Linked DNA regions of Nothobranchius furzeri. Each later gene encodes a partner of the first gene's protein in a complex. Links are inferred from orthologs where the notes say so. Each region holds a gene or a part of one and is shown on either strand. Other genes may lie near its edges.

Region 1 (4,646 bases):
GTTAAGTTGCCTAATAATTATGCACAATAATAGTCACCTGCACACACAGATATCCCCCTAAAATAGCTAAAACTAAAAAGTACTTCCAAAAACATTCAGCTTTGATATTAATGAGTTGTTTGGGTTCATTGAGAACATGGTTGTTGTTCAATAATAAAATTATTCCTCAAAAACACAACTTGCCTAATAATTCTGCACTCCCTGTATGAACCCATTATGTATTTTATTATTACGTTATGTGTCCTGTAGGTTTTCAGTACTTTTTTAGATTTTGTGAGTTTTTGCAAAGCGTGTTTTTCTCAGCCTGACGTGTGGCTGTTGAACGAGGAACAGATAGTTTTACTTTGTTAAATCTTCTTAAATGTTTAAAATGTTTTGTCCTAACCTGTTGTGAATGGAGAGATTTTGAGGGATGGCAGGTTGTGTCAATTACGTGTTTGATAAAAAGTAAATAAATAAAAATGAAAAGCAATTATCTGACATCTTCTATTTATCGATGAAAACAAATCAATATGAAATAATCGTGATGCATCGGGATTTCTAATCGAATTGAACCACTGACCCAATAATCGTAATCGAATCGAGAGACAAGTGAAGATTCACACCTCTAAATTCCACCCAGTCACACAGCAAAGCTCCTACTCTACGTACTCTAGCTGTCTGCAAACTCCTTCCTCTGATGCAACGGTTCCAGCTTTAATCACCCACATGAGAATGCCCCGTAAAAGAGGCTGCTTACGTGGAGGTGATGGTGCGAAAACGCTCCTGCCCCGCTGTGTCCCAGATCTGTAGCTTCACCTTCTCCCCGTTGAGCTCCACTGTTCGGATCTTAAAGTCCACGCCTATCGTGGTGATGTAGCTACCTGTGAGCAGCCATGCGAGCACAAAAAAACAGACAGAAAACAACAAAGAAGAGGAATTTGAGAGCAGGAAGTAAAGAGTAGAAAAAATGGACGTCACACCACAGCAAAAGGTGGAACCACTCACCTGAAAATGTATTGTCTGCAAATCGCAGGAGGAGACTGCTCTTTCCCACTCCTGAGAATGAAACAAGCACAAGATTACAATAAAACAAGTTTCCAACGAAGACAAACACATTTAAAAAAGTAGATGTGCTCGGTGGCACCCGCCTGGTCAACTCAAACAGAGCAGTAGGGAGCTCTGGGGAGATCTATGTCACTACTGTGAGTCAGATTTTGGTTTTACACTTTATATCTCTGCACCATCAGATGACGACAACATGTTTTAAGAGTCAACAGCGCTAATCTCTGCGTACTCAGACAGTTGGTTCTTCTACACATATTAAGTTTTACACATTACAATGAGCTGGGAGGAGTTCAGGAGAGCTGGGCTCCAAAAACATCTTCATTTGGATCTTAGCAGAGCAAAGAGAGCTGATCAAAGGTTAACAAGAGAAAAAATCTCAAAAATAATAGTCAACAGGTAAAAGTGTGCTGTCTTCAGACAGTTTGACTTCTGGTGTTTGAGCTGTCAGACGGACTCGTCTCATCTCCACACACAGGTTTGTTCCAACAACAATAACCACATCAAATGTACCACCATGTCTCTAACACCGACCTGATCGAGAGTCACTTTCTGTCCAACAAATCAAAACACTGACAACATCCTGGACTCCACACACGACTTTCACGCTCAGTGTGCAGGGCCTTCTAATGCAATGCTGTAATACATAAATGATGTACTCAGGAGGCACACGTGCGACAGGAACAACATCCCCAACCTATGATGGAGATCCAGGGCAGGGAAAATCGGAAGGTCTAGTCTTCTTCCTCCCAAGACGATCTCTGCAGAACTGATCTGCCACAATGTGACTGAGGACACTAAGGCTGTGTGTGGGATGTGATGAAGGGTGCGTAGTGCTGCCTTGTCACACAAAGTGAATAGCCAGCTGATGCGGCAGTAGTGCCAGGACTGAAGCCATCAATGGAAGCAAAGATCACTGTTGCATCAAAAGGCTTCCAGCTGGATGAGCCTTAGATGACGCAGCAATGGCTCCATAATTACACCTGCGGTCTGGATCCACCTGTGGCTTCGGGAGTTTGTCTGATGTGAAAGGATTTCACGTTAAAGGAGCAGCACTCCAGCTTTTACACTTCAGCGGCCAGCTGCACCTGATTGGGTGGCTGAAATTAACCAATTGTGAACGGCTAGCTTGCTGAGAAACAGTTTTGCAAATCAAAGGTCCACGGAGGAGCTTAGTTTCCTGCCTGCTAGCAAAACCACATCCCATGCAGCAGCTTCACCAAACCGTGCTGACTCTACAGACACATACACAAAACTCTACTACTTAGCTAAACAACTTTAAAACACCAAAGTAAATGTTTATTTAAAGCAACCAGCCTGGAGCACTGATGTTAGCCTAGCTTCCTGCTAGCTAATATTACATCGCTAATGTGGGACACAAACAGAGAAAATTAGAGAAGCGGAAGAGCTTTAACGGAGGTAATTTAGTCAAATTGTTAGTTTTTATAGAGCTAAAACCAAGTCTTCGCCTACTGGAACAAAAGTAGAGACCCTGGTGCGACAGAGCCGACGCTGTGGAGGCGCTATCCGGCCTGACATGCCCGGTCCGGTCACACAACCTCCGCCCTGTCACGGGCACTAAAACATGGCGGAGCTGTTCATTCCACTCATCGTTTTCAAGGATAAAATATGAAGCGAAGTGAGAGCCCACAGCCAGTAAACTACTCGGCCCTGCAACGCTACTCTCGCTTACCTTGTAAGAAATAAGAAAAACACAACAAGGCCCACTTCCCGTCCCACATCCCCGAAATCGGCTTACCGCTGTCACCGATGATGAGCAGCTTGAACAGGTAATCGTAGTCCCTGGCCATGCCGGTAGCTGGTGGCTATCCCCCGCCTTTTGCTGCAGCTTCGCTTAGCTTTCTGTTCCGACTCCCTTTAGACCGTAGACATTTACCAGCTCCCAGATCCCCCGGCACACGGAAAACGACTCGGTACCCGATGCTGGAGACGGTTAGACCCCGAGCCGGTGGCGTTTTTTTTCTTCGGGGTTTCGCGGCGTCAGCAATCCACCCTCCGCTGCAAACAGCCGGAAACTCCGCTTCCTTCTCTGGCGGAGCTGCGCCCAAAGGAGCCGACGTCACTGCGCATGCTCCAGCCAGAGCGCGGCAGTCCCAGCAGACTGATCACGGACCAGTCGATTCACAACACCTACAGGTGTCAAAGCCCACGTTTACCGAGAATTGTACCCAGTCGAATCATGATCCAAACACACGTCCCCTCCGATGTCACAAACAACTCCTAAAACAATCAGAATAATAAAAACGCATCCAGCTGTTGTGACTGTGTGAGATTAGTGTTTCAGATAACCAGGTAACCTCACGGGTGTGTTTAATACATCCAGCATGACATGCAACTTCTTCACAGAGTAATCCGAGTTTGTAACTTCCTCCTAATGCAAGTTTTCTTTGATCGTGTCATGCTTTATGCATCATGTCTGCTGAACCTGTCCTGTGGTCTTCAAGTCTTTGTGATTCATCGTTTTGTTGTACCAGAATCATCACTGAAAGCATCTCAAACACACGAAATCTTTATTTTGTATTGTCTTTTTACAACAGTATCCAGGATAAGTACAGTTTGTCTTATAGAAAGTTGCTTTCCACAAACAAGTCACACACAATCCAGAGACAGGGCTGATGTTTCCCTAGAGGCATCTTTAACGCTTGAAATCATTTTGATAAAATAGTCAACAAAACATGATCATATCAAAACAAATTTGGCATTTTGTCTCCCAAATACTACAGTTTAGTGCAGGATTATAACCTGCACATCACAAGATAAAAAGGAGTAAGAAACGGGGCTTAAAGGCAACTAAAACGAAGACTGAAAGTTAGAGAAAACAAAAGATACATTTGTAGGGAAAGCCCTTGTGTGTCGAGTGTGTCTGGGGTTCTCCAACTCAGGATTTGTTTTCAGTGTCAGTCAAATTTTAATCAACCTCTGCAGATTTCAGTTTACTGTCAAGTCCTTTTCAATCATGTCAAAATGGTGTCATCGATCTCTTCATTGGAGTCTGGCAGGCTGGCGATCTTCTTCAGAGACCGGCGGTGACATTCTGACAGCAGTTCATTACTAGCAGAGTCCAGAATAGCAGTCATGCTCTGTCACGTAAAAAAGGTAAGAATGAATAATAACCACAGAAATGTTATTATTGATCATGTCTGAATACAATCCCAGAGAACACAGGCTCACCTGCATGGTTTCCTCTCCTTGGCGGAGTTGTAGCAGGTTGACGATGGTGTGATCACTCTGAGCTCTGACGGTGGTGTTCTTGTCCTTGGTGTTGTCCAGCAGACTCTTCAACAGGGGCTTGATGAGGCTGGTATCCATGGGGGGCACTGACGGGTCTCTGAACACCCACCACAGCACTCGCTCTGACACCAGTCTGATGTCACTGGACTGGTTCTGAAGACACTGGGGTTGTCACACACAACATGTCACATAAAAAACTAGTATTACTTATCTCAGAAGTTTTTTCTTCTGCAACAAGACGCCCCACCCCTGGTTCAGTCCAAAATGTAAACCTAGTTTTCTAGTACTACATCCCACCAGTACAATATCCCACCAGTACTACATCCCACCAGTACAATATCCCACCAGTA
Region 2 (3,439 bases), on another chromosome or scaffold:
GTCTTTAAATTTGTGCTAAAAATGAAGTTTTAACAGAAAAGTCACATTTTATTGCACAAGAGCCGATCTAGGTGTTAATATTTCTTATTAGAGATGAAGTTTCACCACTGAAGCTGACTGCATGTGAGGAACTTGCTTGCTGCTCATCCAGATCATCATTTCAGTAAATGTTTGAGGTCTTTCAGCACGGCCATCTAATGTTTGTTTGTTTACATCATCCTGTTGCTGAAATCATCCAGTTTACCAGGGAAAGGTGTCTTTATGGTTTATGAATTCATGTAAAACTGGAGTAAGGAGCAGAGCAACAAGCATCAGGCTGCTGCTACAATAAAACCCTCCTACACAGGAAATGATGGATCTATCTATCTATCTCTCTATCTCTCTATCCATCTATCTTTCTCTCGCCCGCCCGCCCTCTAGGATGTAATAATCTATCCGTCTCATGCCATCCTTTTTGCTGTTAGTGACAAACCGACGATGCTTCAACCTCAGGATCAATCAGCTGAATATAATTTAGAAATGATGGACTCACAGCTTACTGAATTATCCCAAAATCTTTCAACACAAATTGCTGATGCTAACATTTAAAATTAATTATTTCTCAGAAAAACGTATAAAAAGAAGCATAAAAAATTCTAAAATTACAAATGAATCATAACAGGTTTGTTTCCAGAGTAAAAGTATGTACAGGCCTGCAGAGGGCATTTTTCTAACAAACTAAAACAAATCCCACAGAGGAAACGGTCGTTTTAGGAGTCTGATCGAGCGCTTTTCCTTTACAGATCCGACACATTTCATACGTTTAAAGCAGGAAACGTCTGACGAGCGTTTTACATTCTGTCATTTAGGATTGAAAACTTTACAAGAATCCTTTTCAACGGCTGTACCGTTCCTACGGGCGTCGTCCTCTTCGGCCAAGTGCTTTTAGTTTTCTACTAAACCTTTCGGACGACTTGATGAGGAGAAGCTTTGGTCACATCAGGGGTGGACGACGCTCCAGATGTTCACCAGAGCGCCGCTGGTCAGGGTCTCTGCGCGTCATACTGCTGGTAGCGGTTGAGTTTATCAGGGTCGTTCGAGGCCATGTGGGTGAAATCCTGGAAGATGTCCTGGTAGGTTTCATCACCTGGAAATAAGAAACACACATATGAGCAACTGCCAAAATCACCAAATAATCTCATTTCTTCTTCTTCTGAATAACTGCATCTTTTTTTACATCACATGACAAACTTCTGCGGTGAGTTAGCTTAAACCAGGGGTATTCAATCCTGGTCCTGGAGGGCCAGCATCCAGCGCGTTTTAGTTTTAACCCTGTTTCCACACACCTGATTTCAATCAGCAGGTAATTAATTCTGCAAGAGCCTGTTGAGCTGCTACACAGGTGATTCAACAACTAATCGTGTGTTGGAGCAGAGAAACCACTAAAACATGCTGGATACCGGCCCCCCCAGGCCTGGAATTGAGTATCCCTGGCTTAAACCCCCCAGGAGTCCCAGTTGGGAGGCTCATGCAGAGAAAGTGTTATCAGGAATAAACAAAAATAAAAAGAGTTACCTGTTAAGAGCGTCGGAGTGGCTCAAAGCATAAGAGAGAAAAATGCAGAGTAGTAAAAATAAGAACGAAACTAGTGAAAGTGGAAGAAAAGCCAGCGAACAGTCAGAAACAGGAAGAAGAGCCCTCAGACGTTTGATTTTCATCAACAACTGTATTGAGTTTAAAGTGCAGGAGTTTATGTACAAAGATACAGTTGTGTTGGCCTCAACACCCCAAAGAAATAAAGAGCAGAACAGAAAAAAAGGCACAAACTTTGGGGAGGAGTGCGAGGAAACAAACCAGAGATAAGTTTCAGCTTTAGTGGGTCTCGGTCTGAAATCATTTCAAAAGATCAAAGCAGGTCACAGGATACAGAAACAAGCTGAAAACCACAGAGCTGCACTTTTTTTTTTTACTGAAACAACGTTATCTAAGGAATTTTGGACTTTTATTTTTAAAAAGGAGTAAAGATGGACGAGTTTAGTTCTCCTTTACATTCGTTACATCCCTCATCAGTCCTGCCATTCACAGCTGAGCAATTCCACTCTCTAAACATAAAAACACAGATCTGCACGTTTAAAACAAACACCCTAATGCTGTTAATAAAAACAAAAAACAAACATTATGAACAATCGTTTGTGATTCTAGTCCAAGTATTTCAAACCTGACCACGAAGGCTATTCCACTCAGGATTCCTAAACATCAGATGTGAGCCCTCTAGTGGTTGGCACGTGTAAGTGCAGACATCTCTCTCTCTATATATATATATATGTTGTCCAGCAGGGGGAGCTGTCCCTTTTCTAAGACATAAAAGTGCTTCAAACTTGAGACGCAACTGGAAAACATTTCAGTCAGCAGCATGATTCCACATTCACTCTGAAAATCTAAATGTACTCACTCTTCTGTAAAGCTCCCACATGGTTCACATAAGTAGAAGATAAAAAAGCTCAGCACTCTTAAAACCGTTTCTACACTATTGCACTTACGATTTGAAATCCAGTAACATTCCAGTCGATCACAACTATTGCACCAACAGGTTTTTCCATCTTACAATTTAGGATTTCATGTGATTACAAACAAGCGAGCACACTAAACCGACACAAGTAAACACTTTCAGGTAAGACTGAAACCCTCACGCTGCCGATCCCTGTGAAGCCAGTCTGCTCATTCTGTCCGTCAGACTAGAAGCAAATATATTAAACATCATTTACAGCAGGTACAATAGGAAATCTATAATACAGCTCATAGTTATTTTTAGAAAACAGCTCTAAAATATATATTCTGACCAAGCAAGTAAAAACAGAATAGAAGTTTGATCAATAAAACAAGTAAACAAGCCCTGAAGGAAATTAAGACTGAAAACGAGAAGTGTTCAGTTAGAAGAAAGAAGTTGTTGCATAACCATCATCAGGAATGTGCATATTTTCCTTGGTGCATTAAAAAAACCAATCGATCTAAAACTAAATGATTTATAGACACACCACGCATCTTGTCATTCAGAAGTCTTGATTATTGCCAGAAGCTTTGATGAAACAGGTCTGAATACTGGGAGCGGTTTTAGTCTAGATACTATTAGTGTTAAAACAATTCCCTGACAGCTGATAGAAATTAACCCTCTAAAAGAAACAAGTACATACAGTTGTAAACTTTACACTTGAAAAATAAATCTAGTTACTCTTTCAGTTTTGTGCTAAAGGAAGAGATCTAACAGTAGATCAGATTGGATGGCTTTTATCCTGCCACATTAATGCTGCGCAGCGCCTTACAGGACTGAGCAGAAACACCTGCAGACTTCACTGTCAGTCAATACAGTCAACAGAAGGTCTCATTAAGAGAAAAAAACTGCCTTTCTATGTGTTGTTTGATGTAATCTAAGTGAACTCAGGCAGACTCTGCAGCATCTAAT

Evidence for each region. Proteins that work in one complex are often made in the same cells at the same time.
Region 2: the proteins of rab35b (region 1) and acap2b are in contact, whole or in part, in a crystal structure (PDB 6IF3), measured with the Homo sapiens proteins. The link is inferred for Nothobranchius furzeri from reciprocal best matches to the Homo sapiens genes RAB35 and ACAP2. Residues at the interface, in NP_006852.1 of Homo sapiens: Arg3, Asp4, Tyr5, Leu8, Ile41, Gly42, Val43, Asp44, Phe45, Ile47, Lys58, Gln60, Trp62, Phe70, Arg71, Thr72, Ile73, Thr76, Arg79; in NP_036419.3 of Homo sapiens: Val715, Ala718, Asn719, Ala720, Asp721, Val723, Thr724, Arg727, Leu728, Arg730, Met731, Glu734, Met735, Ser738, Glu748, Thr749, Gln751, Arg755, Asp756, Gln759, Met760.

The regions. Positions count from the first base shown.
Region 1 is NC_091757.1:28,062,621-28,067,266, reverse strand, and holds the start of rab35b (ras-related protein Rab-35b), read right to left. Parts: upstream 3,085-4,646; 5' UTR 2,856-3,084; coding exon 2,804-2,855; intron 1,039-2,803; coding exon 988-1,038; intron 864-987; coding exon 740-863; intron 1-739. UniProt on the Homo sapiens protein: The small GTPases Rab are key regulators of intracellular membrane trafficking, from the formation of transport vesicles to their fusion with membranes.
Region 2 is NC_091748.1:61,554,929-61,558,367, forward strand, and holds the end of acap2b (arf-GAP with coiled-coil, ANK repeat and PH domain-containing protein 2), read right to left. Parts: intron 1,127-3,439; coding exon 1,023-1,126; 3' UTR 796-1,022; downstream 1-795. UniProt on the Homo sapiens protein: GTPase-activating protein (GAP) for ADP ribosylation factor 6 (ARF6). Doesn't show GAP activity for RAB35.